Linked DNA regions of Arabidopsis thaliana. The protein of the gene in region 2 interacts with the protein of the main gene of each other region in a pairwise test. Each region holds a gene or a part of one and is shown on either strand. Other genes may lie near its edges.

What was found. The genes of interacting proteins can lie anywhere in the genome.
Region 1: the proteins of AT5G63130 (region 2) and AT2G19650 interact in a two-hybrid assay, tested with the Arabidopsis thaliana proteins (one large-scale study listed by BioGRID).

Annotation. Positions count from the first base shown.
Region 1 is NC_003071.7:8,490,469-8,498,856, forward strand, and holds AT2G19650 (Cysteine/Histidine-rich C1 domain family protein), read right to left. Parts: upstream 5,425-8,388; 5' UTR 5,236-5,424; coding exon 3,187-5,235; 3' UTR 3,001-3,186; downstream 1-3,000. Other genes in the region: AT2G19630 (F-box and associated interaction domains-containing protein), read right to left, coding at 1-642; ASHR2 (ASH1-related protein 2), read left to right, coding at 933-2,129; AT2G19660 (Cysteine/Histidine-rich C1 domain family protein), read right to left, coding at 6,252-8,324.
Region 2 is NC_003076.8:25,320,080-25,327,642, reverse strand, and holds AT5G63130 (Octicosapeptide/Phox/Bem1p family protein), read right to left. Parts: upstream 4,669-7,563; 5' UTR 4,454-4,668; coding exon 4,294-4,453; intron 4,205-4,293; coding exon 3,786-4,204; 3' UTR 2,904-3,785; downstream 1-2,903. Other genes in the region: AT5G63135 (transcription termination factor), read left to right, coding at 1,203-1,346, 2,235-2,390; AT5G63120 (P-loop containing nucleoside triphosphate hydrolases superfamily protein), read left to right, coding at 5,572-5,627, 5,707-6,170, 6,257-6,436, 6,528-6,689, 6,774-6,928, 7,097-7,189, 7,294-7,379, 7,480-7,563.

The DNA of each region.
Region 1 (8,388 bases), on a different chromosome or scaffold from region 2:
AGACCATTCTTGCCTTTTGGCATCTTCAAGAACCCACAATTTAATACTTCTTATTACTCCATTAAAACGGGAATAAACTGTTGACGGCAGATACAAACTTAGTTTCCCATTGTAGTTTATGAGAGATCCATGATGCAGTGCTCCGATAATAAATCTAAACTCCTCAGACCTGACGTCAAAGCAAACTATCACAATATCATTGTTGTTGACCCCAGCATAATAATATATAAGACCATCAATGCATATCCCTCCATCGAAAGAACGATGTGGTATGCAACATTGGATCGTTCTCCATGACATGTTTCCACTTCCTAAGGTCAAAATATGATGCATATGATAATTGACGACTACAGGAGACGACTTCTTATGATCATCATCAGGATTTTGAAGCTGAGGTGACGATAAAAATAAATAATCGCTACCTTTTCTGTAGGCGAACAATAGCTTCGGGCGAGCCAAAGATCTAGTCAAGAACAACTCGGTGAAATATGGACGGCTAAGTGTGGAGGCCCATTGCTTCGATACGCAACGACATCTCGCTATAGAATTCACCGACAACCTCAAGAATATCTCGATAATGAGATCAATTGGGATCTGCAAGGAGTTTTTAGTTCCATCCTCTAAGCGCAGAGACGTTTTCATGGCCGAAATAAATAAACCCTAAGAGAGAGAGACTCCTTGTAGAAGAAGAAACCAATGCGGTAAAACAAAGGCAAGTAAAAGCCAAAAAAAAGTTAATCACAATGGTAAAAACATGGACTGAGAGAAAGCCCGTATAGCCCAAAGTTTCCAAGCTTGTATAAGGCCCAACCAAATAACCTAACGAGTTTAAAGTTCAAACGTGATGAAACGTTACCGTTTTAGCGTTTCTCATGTTTCTTCCATATAAATAGTTTTAGTTTTGTAGAAAACCCTAATCGACGACGGCCATTATGATAAATGACGGCGGAGCTAAACCGGAGACGCTGCTTAGGGTTGCAGAAATCGGTGGAAGAGGAAGGAGTTTGGTGGCGGCACAGTCTCTTCGTGCTGGACAAGTTATCCTCAGAGAGTCTCCTCTCCTTCTCTACTCTGCTTTTCCATTTCTCTCCTCCTCTGTTTCTCCTTACTGCGACCATTGTTTCCGTTTGTTAGCTTCATCGGCGCATCAGAAATGTCAATCTTGCTCTCTCGTCTCCTTTTGTAGCCCTAATTGCTTCGCCTCTCATACTCCTTGGCTCTGCGAATCTCTTCGCCGGCTTCACCAATCATCCTCCTCTGCATTCTCCGATCAACCTTCTGATCGTCAAGTCCAAGCTCGTTTCCTCCTCTCTGCTTACAATCTCGCCGCTGCTTCTCCTTCTGATTTCCAGATTTTGCTCTCTCTCCAAGGTAGTGGCAGCAGCAATGGAGATCCTTCTTGTTCTGCGGGTGATTCTGCAGCTGCTGGGTTTCTTCATTCTCTTTTATCTTCCGTGTGTCCATCTCTTCCGGTGTCTATCTCGCCGGATCTCACGGCGGCTTTACTGTCAAAGGATAAAGTTAACGCCTTTGGTCTGATGGAACCGTGCTCTGTTTCGAATGAGAAAAGATCTGTGCGAGCTTATGGGATTTATCCAAAGACTTCGTTTTTCAATCATGATTGTCTTCCTAATGCTTGTAGATTCGATTATGTTGACTCTGCTTCTGATGGTAATACTGATATCATCATTAGGATGATTCATGATGTTCCTGAAGGTAGAGAAGTTTGTTTAAGCTACTTCCCTGTGAACATGAACTATTCGAGTAGACAAAAGAGATTGCTTGAGGATTACGGTTTTAAGTGTGACTGTGATCGGTGCAAAGTGGAATTTAGTTGGTCTGAAGGTGAGGAAGATGAGAATGAGATTATGGAAGAGATGGAGGATCAAGATGAACAAGAAGAGATGGAAGATTCAGTAGGTGAGAATGAAGAAGAAGTTTGTGGAAATGGTGTGGATGATGAATCTAATTTTCCTCATGCTTACTTTTTTGTGAGATATATGTGTGAGAAGGAGAATTGTTTTGGCACTCTAGCTCCGCTTCCCCCGAAGACTCATGATGCTTCGAGAGTTCTTGAATGTAATGTTTGTGGAAGCGTTAAGGAGGATGAAGTTGGCGTAAATCAATGAGGAAGGTTAGCTTAAAGAATTGATCAGCCGAAAATCTCAAGCTTGTTTGATGCAGCCAGACCCAAACAACAAGAGACTTGTCTTGGACCACATCGTTAATCAATGTTGTTTGTTGTTTGATGTTTACTTTTTTTTTTTTACTCAGTTTTGAAAATTCGATAAGTATTCTAGCTCTAGAATTCCATATCTAGGTTTTTTGTTTTCTCCTAGATAGTCTGAAGAATCAATTGTAATGGTCTGTGGAATTACACGGAAACAGTTTTGTTGTAATAATGGAGCATCAGTTTTCTTTGGTTGAATGAAAAATCATAATTTTTTTGACTTTTTAAGTTGAAAACTGCAGAATTACATGGCTTGATGATGTTTGCATTGTTAATCTCTATTACTCTTCAGTGTGCTCAGTGCCTGAAACCATAGCTTCCTTGATAGGGATCAATGTATTGGTAAACCAAATTGTGTAATAGTTTTTCCATAAAATAGATTCAATAGAACCAGTGTAACAAAAAATTATTAGGGGGCTCTGTTTTAAGGTCGCAACATGACGGTGACACAAACATTTTTTAGTGATTAACTTGTTCTCATTCTGTTCCAAGTTCAACAACACAAACTGAGTTTTTTGGCTTCTCTATCAGAGAACTAATGTGATTCTACAACACAACCTGCTCTGACTGACTTACTCTGCTATGTTCTGTTTTGCTCTGCTCTGTTCTCACTTCCACGTCTCTGTTTTTGTCATTGACATTTCGACTTGTAGGAACTTAAACATTTAGTGGATTGACTGGCAAGATTGATCCAACCTTTTCCAATCTTACATCCATAAATAAGTTGATATTTTTTCTGGTTTTTATTTGGCAAACACTAATGCACCCTAGGGTTCAATGAGATATATATATATTACACTAACACAAGTACACAACCAAATGTTATTGTAGGGACTTGTAATAATTTAACAGACCCAGATTCCTCACAAATTCTACCAAATTTGCGAGTCATTCAAGCTAGCAAACATTATCATCTATAAATAAATAGTTTTCTAAACATAGTAAAGAACATAATTTTAAAATTCGAAACGTTCCTGATAAATTTTCTTCTCACATTCTAAAGAACAAAAGTATAGATCAGCTCCGTCCTCGGGAAGCGTACGAACGAAAGGGAGCTTGCATCGAGAGTTGCACACGCAGCAAAGTGGTCTACAAATAGAGTGGTTGGATACAAATGTTCCTATCCATGTTAACGCTCCTGGCATGGAATATGCGTAAGTATCTATAACGCAGGAAATATGCAATGTGATCCCACACTCATTGCATGTATAGAACCATTTTTCTGGGTTCACAGTTGTTTCGCATGCTTCACACCAATATTTGCCAGCCACGCCCATTTCGCCATAAGATAAGAAGAGAGGATGATCGTCGTACCTATGCCTCATTACCTTTTGCGGTAAAATAGCACACTTGAAGCACAAACCAAATTCACAATCATCGCAACTCAATTTCCCGTCTCCATCACACTCACTACAACGTTTGGAGTGATCTGTAGAGTAGTGTAAAGGATGTTGATGGCTTTTGTGCTCAAATGGTTCTGTAACTGTAGCGCACCGTACATCTATCCTTAATTCCTTAGATTCATAGGAGAAACCGGTGAACAGTTGACGGCAAATACTACACCTATGTAACAAGTAGGTGCCATAATTTGGGGATAGTTCGAGTGGCTGGTTGTGGCACACATGACGTTTCTTTAAAGGAAGCTTGGCACATTTTTCGTGGATTATGAAATCGCATCTCTTTCTCGCGCAAGCGTAGAACGGTTCTGAACAAATCTGGAAGACACATGCGGTACAAACTACACTTTCTGGTAGATTCCAGCCACGGTAAATTCGTAAGTTATGCTTATGGCCGTAATGGTCTATCGTGTTGTCATCAATCACCTTGAATGGCGCAGTTTCCTCTTCTTCGGGTGTCCCTTCCAGTTCGATCATGTCCCATACATCCCTTCTGGTTGCGCATCTTGAATGAACAAAATAATCAAAACATTTGGAGCAAGAATAAGCCCCGTAGAACCCATCCACATTTTTACGACAAACTCTGCATTTCCCGTCTCCATGTCCGAGGCGAGGGGTGTAAGAGATGCGGTGGTCGTGGCGGTTGATGTTTATGACGCGAGGTAGATCGATACATTCCCGATGAATCATGAAATTGCACTGAAGACAGAAATAAGGGCTACGGTCACCTAGCGTCCCACAAGCATTGCAAGTGAAGTCAATGCGTCTTGGAACAAGGTGAAGTTGATGTTCATGGGTCCTCGGGCTTTTAACAAGAACCGGTGGTGGGTTTTTCATACATGATCTGCATATGCTAAAATTACAAACACCACAGTGGTGAAGCTGGCGATGGATTCCATCAAACTCCTCGCGGCAAAGAAGACATTTCTTGTCGGCGTAACCAGGGACTTCATATCTAAGTGACTTGAGTGGGTGTTGGGGGTGAGAAGTGTGGTATGCTTCTGGACTATTATGATCGATACAATCCAGACTGATGAAAAACTCGCATTGATGACATGTGTAGAAATGTTTCCAGCTATTATGTTGATGGCCACACCCTTTGCAATCTCTGAGTGTTTCGTGCGCTTCATGGGAGAGTTGGAGTGGATGCTCGTGTAGGTAGGAGTTTTCAGCAAGAACAAGTAGGGCTGGTCTCCTCGCGCAAATCAAATCCAACTGGAAATCACATTTGTTACAGCGATAACCGACACTGAAAAATTCTCCACAGAAACTACAATTAGAAACTCTGGTATGTAGGAGGATCAGCTTGAGAGGATGGACTGGATGGTAAGGGTGGTCGATTTCTGGTAACGGCTTGGCGCACTCTTCATGGAACACAACATCACATCCCGGCTCATTGCATCGGTGTCCTCCGTAAATGTAACTGCAACCGGGATGTTTGGAAATGAAGCTTGTATTATCTTCATCGGTCGAGTAGCATCCTTTACACTTGGTGAACTCGAAGCGTGTAAAAGGTATCAACGGATGCTCATGAAATGGTAACAATTTTTCAAGGCGGGATGCTTCTTCGTCCATGCCTTCATTAAACAAAGCTAGAAAGTTTTCCATGGTGATGTTTTCTTACTTCCACCAAAACACAAAGCTCTTCTCTTCTGCACTAGTTTCAGACTTGGTTTCTTGTTTTTCTCTCTTTCTTTTCTTTCAGGATTTTTTTTCAAGTGGTTTATCATTTTCAGACTTTGCAAATAGTTAATATGAATTCGCACCACAGAAATGATTCTTTTCATTACTGAGATTGAGACCACATGTGTTGGCTTCATCCTTGCATTATTTAATTAACTCAGACCACATATGTTGACTCTGCAACTATTGTGTCCGGCCAAAACATAAATAATTGAATGAATACAAAAAAGGTTTTTTCTTGCATTAAATGGAATAGAAGTTTATGGATAGAATAGTTTAGAATTTAAATGGATGGAACTGTACATTTTGTGGAAAAAACAGTTTGAAGTCTGAACCACACAACTCCTTGGCCAAGTAGCTTTGGAGGTAGACTTTGCTGCATTCAAGTCTCTGAAACCAAAGTTTTATTATTGTATTGCATCCACTAACTTTTATGTAATTTCAGACCAAAAGATTTGTATTTTTGTCTTTAAGACCAGGATTGGGCCAATCTTTGTTTTTTAATTTTTATACAGCCAAAAGTAAGTTCTATTTCCACCATCAGATTGTATAACCCATTTGAATAACACTATAAAGTTAACATATATATACCATCTGAAACATTCGAAGAATCATTTGTCAAATCACATGTATTCAAATCACTCAGAGCAAATTTTGATTAATAAAGAAGTTAAAAAGACATACTGCGTATACATGAGCTGCTCTTGCTTTAGCACAAAACAGAGACCAGATTCCAGTTCCAGCTCTAATGTCAAGAAACTTGTTCTTTTAAATATCCTGTTAAGAAATTCTGTTTCTAAGATCATTGAGACTGCTGCTGACTGGATTCAAAAGATTGATAATTGTGGAAAAAGCGCATAAGCTTGAGGTTAAAAAAAAACTATTGTAAAACATACTTTTGGAATTAAATGGTACAAAGTTTTTCTTCATTAAAACATGCCTTACCAATCACTACTAGAGTAGTTATTAGAGCGGTTGAAATTATAATAACAGTTTAAAGAACAAATGTATAAAACAACATCGGCTTTGGAAACGACCTTAACAATGGAAGGAAGCTTGCATTGAGAGTTACACACATAGCAAAATGGTCTACACATAGAGGTGTTGGATACCACCAAGTCTTCCTCCCATCCTATTTTGGAACCTGGCATATAATATGAGAAGTCTCCCACAACGCATGAAATATGCAATATGACACCACAATCATTGCATGTATAGAACCATTTCTTCGAATTCACTTTTGTTTCACATGCTTCACACCAGTATTCTCCATCCACACTACTTTCACCACACGACAAGTAAAGAGGATGATCGTCGTATCTATGCCACTTTACTTTCTGCGGTAAAAGAGCACACTTGAAGTCCAAACTATAGTCACACTCATCACAGCTAAAGCTTCCTATATCTAGATCCATGTTTTTGCCACATTCCGTACAAGACTTAGAACTACGTTTCGAAAAGTATAAGGGATGTTGATGGCTTTGGTGCACCAATGGTTCTCGAATTGAACCACATCGTACATCTAGAGTAACCATACGAGTAAGACACTCGTACCTGAAACCGGTGAAACTTTGCCAACAAAGATCACATGAAGTTTCGTCTGAAGTATCATTTGTGACTAGGGTAAATGGTAGGTTGTCGCAAACATGCCGTTTCTTCCGAGGCAGGTTAGCACATTTTTGGTGGAGAATGAAGTCACAATTCTCGCAACTGTAGAACGCATCTGAACAGATCTGGAAGACACATGCTTTACATAGTGTGCTTTCATGGAGAATCCTCCCATCCTTGTTGATTACTAAGTTATGATCATGGCTAAAATGTTTGATCGTGTTATCATCAATCACCTCGAATGGCGCATCTTCCTCTGGCTCTTCGGGTGTCCCTTCTAGCTCTATCATGTCCCATACATCCTCGTCCGTTGCGCATCTCGAGTGAACAACATAGTTAGAACATTTTGAGCAAGAATAACCCCCGTAGAAGCCATCAACCTTTTTACGACAAACCCCGCATGTATTTTGCCCATGTCCAAGACGACGAGTGTAGGAGATGCGATGATCGTGGCGGTTGATGTTTATGACGCGGGGCAAATCGATACACTCCCAATGAATCATGAAGTTGCATTGAAGACAGAAATAAGGGCTTTGATCAGCTTGAGTCCCGCAAGCATTGCAAGTGAAACCGAGAGGTTTTGAAAGAAGATAAAGTTGATGCTCATGGGTGGTCGGGCTTACAACACTAAGCGGCGGTGGGTTTTCCATACAGCCGCCACATATGGTAAAGTTACAAACATCACAGTGGTGAATTCGTCCGTCAAACTTATTCCCGCAAAGAAGACACTTGTTGTCGGCGTAATCGGGTGCTTCTTCACATCTAAGGAGCTTGAGTGGGTGTTGGGGGTGTAAAACGTGGCTAGCTTGTGGAAAAAGTTTGGTACACTCCACATGAAAGCGTAAATCGCATTTATTACATTTGTAATGAACAGCATCGAAAACTCCCCATTTGCATGTTTTGCAAAGTTGCACAAAACCGTCACGGGTTCCATCAGAGAGCTGAATCGGATGCTCGTGGACAGTGGATTCTTCAAGAATAAATTCCAAAGGCAACCTCGTCGCGCAACGAAAATCCAACTTGAAGTCACAAATCGAACAAAGATAACCATTTTCAAACGAAGATGGACACTGGCTACAAGAAGCAAGTGGTTCGACATTTATGAGGAGCTTTAGAGGATGGTCTGGATGAGAATAGTGGTTGATTTCTGGTAACGGGTCGGCACACTCTTTATGAAACACAGATTCACACCCCAACTCATTGCAATGGTAGCCTCCATATATGTAACCAACATACCCACACCCTTTACAAGCCTTGTAGGAAAAACGAGTAAAAGGTAACAGCGGATGGTTATGAATTGGTGGTACCTCTACTTTTTCCATGGTGATCCAAATCAAACCACAGATCTCTTTTGTGATGTTTTTCTTTTCTATTTTTGTTTCTATCGGATCTCTCAAAGTGGGCATATAACGATGAATAATCAAATAATGCATATGATCAAAATTAATGCCATACCACGTGAAATATTGA
Region 2 (7,563 bases):
TTAGCGTCATCAATGGAATCGAGGACCTCAAGGTGAGTTAGCCAGGACAATAGCTTCCATCATCATCATCATCGACAACAATTTCATCGTGATAAACCAAGATTAAGAACACAAGTTTTTGGTGAAGAACTGAAGCAAGAAACATACTTATATATATATGCTTTCAATTGTAGATTGATATCAAACTATATATATTGTAATGTAGATAGATACACAAATTTAGAGACGTGTATTATACATATCAACATATGTGTGTGTGAGAGTCTTATAAAGAGAGTTTTTATGTCGTTGTATTGAGAAGCAAAGCCGTATTGTTATATTCCCGCATGCATAGTTTCTTTCTCACAAGGAAATGGGGTGTGGGATAAAGGTGTAAAGAGTTATCCTTTTTAAAGGTGTGTTTGGCCTTTTTAAAATAACTATGTGATGCTTTTTTATTTTACCCTAAGTTTTTTTACGCAATGTACAGCCTTTACAACTATTCACACCACCAAATTTGCAAAATTGATAGTCAGTATTTTATCTATAATTGGCTCCTTTGGGGGTTAGAGACCGTATATAAACAGCAATGGCATGCAAGTTAAATAGTGGATTTTAGAAAACATACTAACAAACATTACAATTAAGTATGTTCATTATGATAGTAGACTGGTGAAATATAAGAAAATTATTAGAGTTGATTAATTTTATTCGTTTGAATTTCTTCAATTTCTTTTGACATGAACAAGTTTATTTCGAAAACCTAAAACAAGATACATAAATACTACCATAAATGATAAACGAAAATGTTAATATAGCTTTCAAAAAATAATACAAAAAGTACTATGAATTCGCAAGATTCGATGTTTTATGGGTAATCAAAATATTTGGAATGTTACTATTCCATCACCAATCAAAAGATCAGATGCCTATTTACGTTTTTGTTATTAGAGTTTTAATTTTTAAGACGTTGTTAGTTAGTTTCAAATTTAAGTCACGCGCGGAAGGTAGGGAGTGGCCCAATGGGTTTCAAATTATGCTTTTGTAATTTTACAAGCCCAAATTTAACATTTAGTCCCTACTCATAGTCAAAATTATATTTATCTTTACCCAATAACAATGGGCTAAACAGATAAAAGCCCAATAATAAATGCACTGTGTTTTTGGTCTTTATTTACTTTTCCATCAATTTTCGTTAAGAGAGAAAAAGGAAGAGAAGAAGAATGTTACAGTTTCCGACGTTGATGACCCAATTTCCGTCGTCGACGAAGACGATTCCGGCATCGTATTTGCTTCCGTTACAATGGCCTCAGCCGCAGAACGAGGAGATTCTTCTCGCCATGGAAGAAGCTGAGTTCGAAGAAAAGGTAGCTTCCTTCTTTTTTATTTATGTATTCGTTCTCCTTCGGAATCTGCTGAATAGGAAATTTTCAGTTTTCGACTGTCACTACAGGCAGCATAAAAGGTCAATCTTAGATCTTTAGTTTCATGTAAGTTGAGCTGATTATGAGTGAAATTTATTGATTGTGTTCGAGATTATAAGTGGTTTCTACTTTGTAAATGATCAATCTTTTTCGATCCGTGGTGATGATTTTGGTTTTAGGCAGATCACTTTCTTCTCTACTTCATATTGATAAGATGAATATGAGTTTCTGAATCTTTCTGCTTTGGAACATATTCTTTTGGGTCCTATGTTTGAGTTTTAAGTTAGTACAAAAGTGAGAATTTTAGTGGATACCAATGTCGAGTTGTGATTCTAGTGTAGTGGTTTTTCCAGTGTAGACTCTATGGATATATGCATTTGTGTTCATTGGACTATCATCTTATAGCTTTAGACCCGTAATAATGTATAAAGATCCAAGGGTGATCTTCGAGTTTAAATTGGAGAGATTTTTGGTTTCTAGATTTAGTATGGAAAAGGATTTGAGTTTATTGTTACATGTTTTCCAATGTTTGAAAACTAGTTCCGTTTCCTGAATCACTAGCAAGTGAAAGGAAAGAAGCAAAGACAAAATTTGCAGATTTGGAATTTAGCCATTGTGAACTTTAGACAACATGTCTCCTTGTCGTGTGATGTGTTGGTGTTACCTCTAATTATATGTTCTTCTTAAATATATTAGATTGTGTGATTATATAGACGTGGGAGCTCAAAAGTGAGAGAGATCAGTAGAGCTAATTGTCAGTTTCAGTGTTGTTGTTATGAATGTTTTAAGACAAGTTCTAAGTAAATTCTTGTTGTCTTGGGTTTGGTGCAGTGCAACGAGATCAGAAAGATGAGTCCTGCTTTACCGGTAATTGGAAAACCAGTCGTCAACAACGAACAAGAAGAGGATGATAATGAAGCAGAGGATGATGATGCAGATAATGCAGAGGAATCAGATGGTGAAGAGTTTGAGCAAGAAACCGGATAAATAATCTTGAGGCCGAAAATACACAAGGGTTATTGATGGCATTGGCTTGAAACTTGAGGACCCTTATCTAAATCTTCTTGTGATAAAACGACTGTGATTCTGACTTTGTAAACCAGGTTTTTTTCTTTTCTTAGGAACGACTGAAATGTTCACTTTTGGCCCTAAGGTTAGTCAGTGGATTATTCGTAGTTAATTGTCTCAATCTCATGGTGTTAATTGTGTTAGTGTATTGACATTGAATTTTATGGTTTATAGATTGTAGTGATTTGATGATGATGACATTTTTCAAAATTTAGACCGGCCTGTACATGCCAACTACGGGTAAGATATTTGACCAGAAATAATACAAATTTAAACGAAAACATATGTAGTTGGGTTTTACGTGAATAAATTTTATTTGGCCAAAAGCATAAAAAACAAGAACATGATTGGTTGTATGAATTAATAATTTGAGATTCGTTTCTGACTTTAAATATGTATAAAAATGCTAAGAAAGCCCAATTTCGTGTGCTGGTTGGTTGATATTTCAACAAATAATGCTGAAAAACAAGAAATATGTGGTACTGTTACTTCAAAATTTGATTCGAAATAATCAATGAACAACTTCAAATATTTTTTGTGGAGTTCCAAGTTTTCAAGTTAAGATGGGACAATTTGCTCACCAACTTATTCATTCTTTAGTTCTCCACTCCTCCATCTGTCCCATTCACAAGTTGCGAATATTTAGGAAGTCAACTAAAATACGCCGACTAACATTTCTTTTTCCAATAGTTTTCTGATTAATTAATATATTTGATGGTCCTTTTCTCAAGTCGGGCAAAATTTTGAATCGAATAAACAAAGGAACTCCGTGTGAGACTGTGAGTAATCTCATGTCCTTCTCTAATCCTGATGAGACAGACAAAAAAAATCGAATATTATAAAGTTGAGAAAACAATTAAAAAATTACTTATCAAACAAGTAAAATAAAAAAGAACCTCGTTAAGAAAAACAAACTCCAGAAGACGAAAGGTTGACACGTGTGACGTAACTAATCCACGGACAACACACGTGTTCACATCTCCGATATTTACACGAGATGATCTCACTATTCGCCACGTATCACGTTTAACAAAAAAACAAACGTCGTACGTGTAAACACGTCGTAACGGCGACTCTAACGGTTAGTAACGGCCACTAACGTCCCGGTATATACTCCGTCTAAATTAATTTCTCCGTCGGTTACGTCTCCGACCGGTAATTGTATAGGAAAATTTTAATTCTTCTCTTCACAAAAAATCAACACATCGTAAAAATTTCTAAAAACCCTAAATTAAATCCTTTAATTGCGTCTTCTTCGTCATTATCATGGTATTCGTATCTATGGCGTATATTCGATTATTTCCCCAATCTCCGTCAATGCCAAACGAGCCTAGAGTCTTTGTGTACACGACACGCATAGCAGCAATGCGATTCTTCCGCTCTCTGAATGTATCTTCTCGGAGGAAGATCCGTGGAAGGTAAACAATACCGAGATTGTAGATATCTTCCATACGCCGGCGACGGAGAATTTGGCGGTGAAGGCGTGACGGAGAACGGCGATTTTGGAGATCGATCACCGCTTGAAGACGGCGAAGATTCGGTCTTATGCGAAGATCTCGGAGGTGATAGAACGGCACGGATCTTGGCTCCGCAGATGCGATCGTACTCTTCAACGATCTCCGCTAGTTCTTCTTCTGATTTGACGGAGATTAGAGTCTCGAGATCTCCGTTTGGTAATTGACATCGTAAATCAACGGAGTATCCACAGAATTCATAGAGTTTCTTCATCAGCTCTGGAGAAACAAAATTAAAAAATCAATCTCAGATTCGGCGAAATCGGAAATAGAATCGATTTCAATACGAAATTGAAGTGGAGACGAACCTGAGAAAGAGATAGAACGATCAACGGAGAGGACTCTGGTGTGACCTCCGACGTAACGGAGCTTGCCGTCGGTGGAGCGAGGGAGGATTCTGCCACCGTAACTGCATAGAAACTTGAGACTGCTTCCACTGTTCTTCTCGGTATAATCAACGGCTACCATTGTTAGTTTTTTTTGAATTTTTGAAGATTTGGGAGAGAAGAGGGAAGCTTTTTATAATTGAGTGTTTGTTTTTGGTGTCTTAAACCAAGAAGAAAGGTTGCAGATGGATGGGTTTTATAGGGAAGGAGTGATGTCATGGTGGGATATTACGCGTATGGGCAAATAGAAAATTCCTTGGATCTTCTATGGGCATTTTGGACAATTCTGTTATTTCCAACAATGGAATATTCTTTTGTTTAATTGATTCCATTTTGAAGAAATCTTCTTTCTTAAAAGTCGCTCATCATTATAGACGTTTGGTCATCAAAGAAAACTAGTCATAAAATTTTAATCAAATATTGAATGCTGAATCTGATTTGTACCTTCCTCTTGGCAGTCTCTTCCATGTTAATGTTATTGTTAATTACCATCAATTTTACTGATTGCTCTGAACATGATTTTGTTTTTTTATTATTTTTTTTGCTGCAAGAACATTATTATGTTTGAAATTATAAATATGTCAAGTATGACCTTATGGCCATGTAATGTTAATGATTCGATTTTATAAATACTGTGCATTATGGGTCAAGTCAAATGTATACTTTTTCACTAGTTAGAAAATAACATACAGTATATGGTATTATTCCAGAAAATATGTATTATGACTAGGATTGGTGTAGTCACATGACTCATGAGATGGTATGTCTGAAAAATCCCATCGCAACTTTAAGATTTTCCAAATTTGATTCGACACTGTTGGCAAAATGTTTAAAGCAATAGACTCCCCCATCACAAAACCTCCAATAATTTAAGTTAAACAATTGTTTGGGTCCAATTTGTAGCCCATTAAGTGGTTAGTCATGGCCCATATCTGATTACCAACAAAATAAAGGAAATTAATTAAATTCGCGCAATAAAAAGAACAGAAAAATGGTGGGACAAATTAGGGTTACTAATTTGGGAATTTTACTGTCCAAAACGAATCAAAAAAAAAATCTAAGCTTTTTGTTCCTTTTGCGGCTTTTCGTCGTCTTCCTTGCACTATCTTCCTTCTGTAGCATCAATTCGTTTCCAAGGTTACGTAGTAGAATTTACGCGAGAGAGCGAGAGATCAAAAACCATAACCATCTTAAGTTACAATGAGCTCGTATGATCGTAGATTTGCTGATCCAAATTCGTATCGCCAACGCTCTGGGTAAGTGAAACCAATCGACCAATTTCTTCGTTTTTGTTTCCTTCGATCTGTAACACTTATCTTCTCTGTGTTACTTTAGCGCCCCAGTTGGTTCGTCTCAGCCGATGGATCCTTCCGCCGCACCATACAACCCACGGTACACTGGTGGTGGTGGAGGATATGGACCATCTCCGGTAATGGCCGGTGATAATTCCGGCTATAATCGGTACCCATCTTTCCAGCCACCTAGTGGCGGTTTCTCTGTTGGCCGCGGTGGTGGAAGAGGTGGATATGGTCAATACGGCGATAGAAACGGCGGAGGGAATTGGGGAGGAGGAGGAGGACGTGGCGGATCGAGTAAAAGAGAGCTAGATAGTGTTTCTCTTCCGAAGCAGAATTTTGGGAATCTTGTACATTTTGAGAAGAATTTCTATGTGGAGAGTCCCACTGTGCAAGCTATGACAGAGCAGGATGTTGCAATGTACAGAACCGAGAGGGATATATCCGTTGAAGGTCGTGATGTTCCTAAGCCGATGAAGATGTTCCAAGATGCTAACTTTCCAGGTATTTTGATTGGATTGGTCATAGAGTTTCCAGTTCATTTATATCTAATTTGGGTTCTTAGTTTAATGGTTCCTTTTATCTGTTAGATAACATTCTTGAAGCAATTGCTAAATTGGGATTTACTGAGCCAACACCTATACAAGCTCAGGGATGGCCGATGGCGTTGAAGGGTAGGGATTTGATTGGTATTGCTGAGACTGGCTCTGGTAAGACATTGGCTTACTTGTTACCAGCATTGGTTCACGTTAGTGCACAACCTCGATTAGGTGAGTATTACAGCACTATGTGATATTCTGATTTAAGCTGCATTCATTTTTCCGGCAACTTTTTTATTTGCATTGTTGGGGTGTAATATAGGTCAGGATGATGGCCCCATTGTGTTAATATTAGCTCCCACAAGAGAACTAGCTGTTCAGATTCAAGAGGAATCAAGGAAATTCGGGTTGAGGTCTGGTGTTAGAAGTACTTGTATCTATGGTGGTGCTCCTAAAGGACCTCAGATTCGTGATCTTAGAAGAGGTATTTTATTTTTTAATAGTGTAGTTTTCATGTCTGGTTCTTGGATGGAACATCAAAGTTTATGAATCATGATTGGCTTGTCAGGTGTTGAGATTGTAATTGCTACACCTGGTCGTTTGATTGATATGTTGGAATGTCAACACACTAATTTGAAGAGAGTGACTTACCTTGTACTGGATGAGGCTGACAGAATGTTAGACATGGGATTTGAACCCCAAATTAGAAAGATTGTATCTCAGGTATGTTTGTACTTTCTCCAAAGCTATCATGTAGTGTCTTTAAGGAAAGGGTGGTTGACCAACATTATTAGTCGATAGATTTTATCTTCCCAGTTTATTGTTCTGTTGCTAAATAAGAACCATCACGGCTTTTGTTCAGAACTTGAGATTGTTCCTTATTTTTCACAGATCCGACCTGATAGACAAACACTTCTTTGGAGTGCAACATGGCCACGAGAGGTTGAAACTCTTGCCAGGCAGTTTCTACGAGATCCATATAAGGTTTACTTGCTATTTAGTTTAACTTATTAGGATTGAGTATACTGTTGTTGAATAAAGTAGGGGATGTTTTATGTTGTGCACTGAAAACAGTTGTTATTTTGTAGGCCATTATTGGATCAACAGATCTAAAAGCTAACCAGTCTATTAACCAAGTAATCGAGATTGTACCGACGCCAGAGAAATACAACAGGTTCTTAATTTTTCTGTCATTAGATAAGAAACGATTTATATATATATTTATTTGCCTTCTTATATGATATGATACTTATGCCTTTTTTCTCGTTTGATAGGCTCCTTACACTACTTAAACAGTTAATGGATGGGAGTAAAATCCTAATTTTTGTGGAGACAAAGAGAGGGTGTGATCAAGTGAC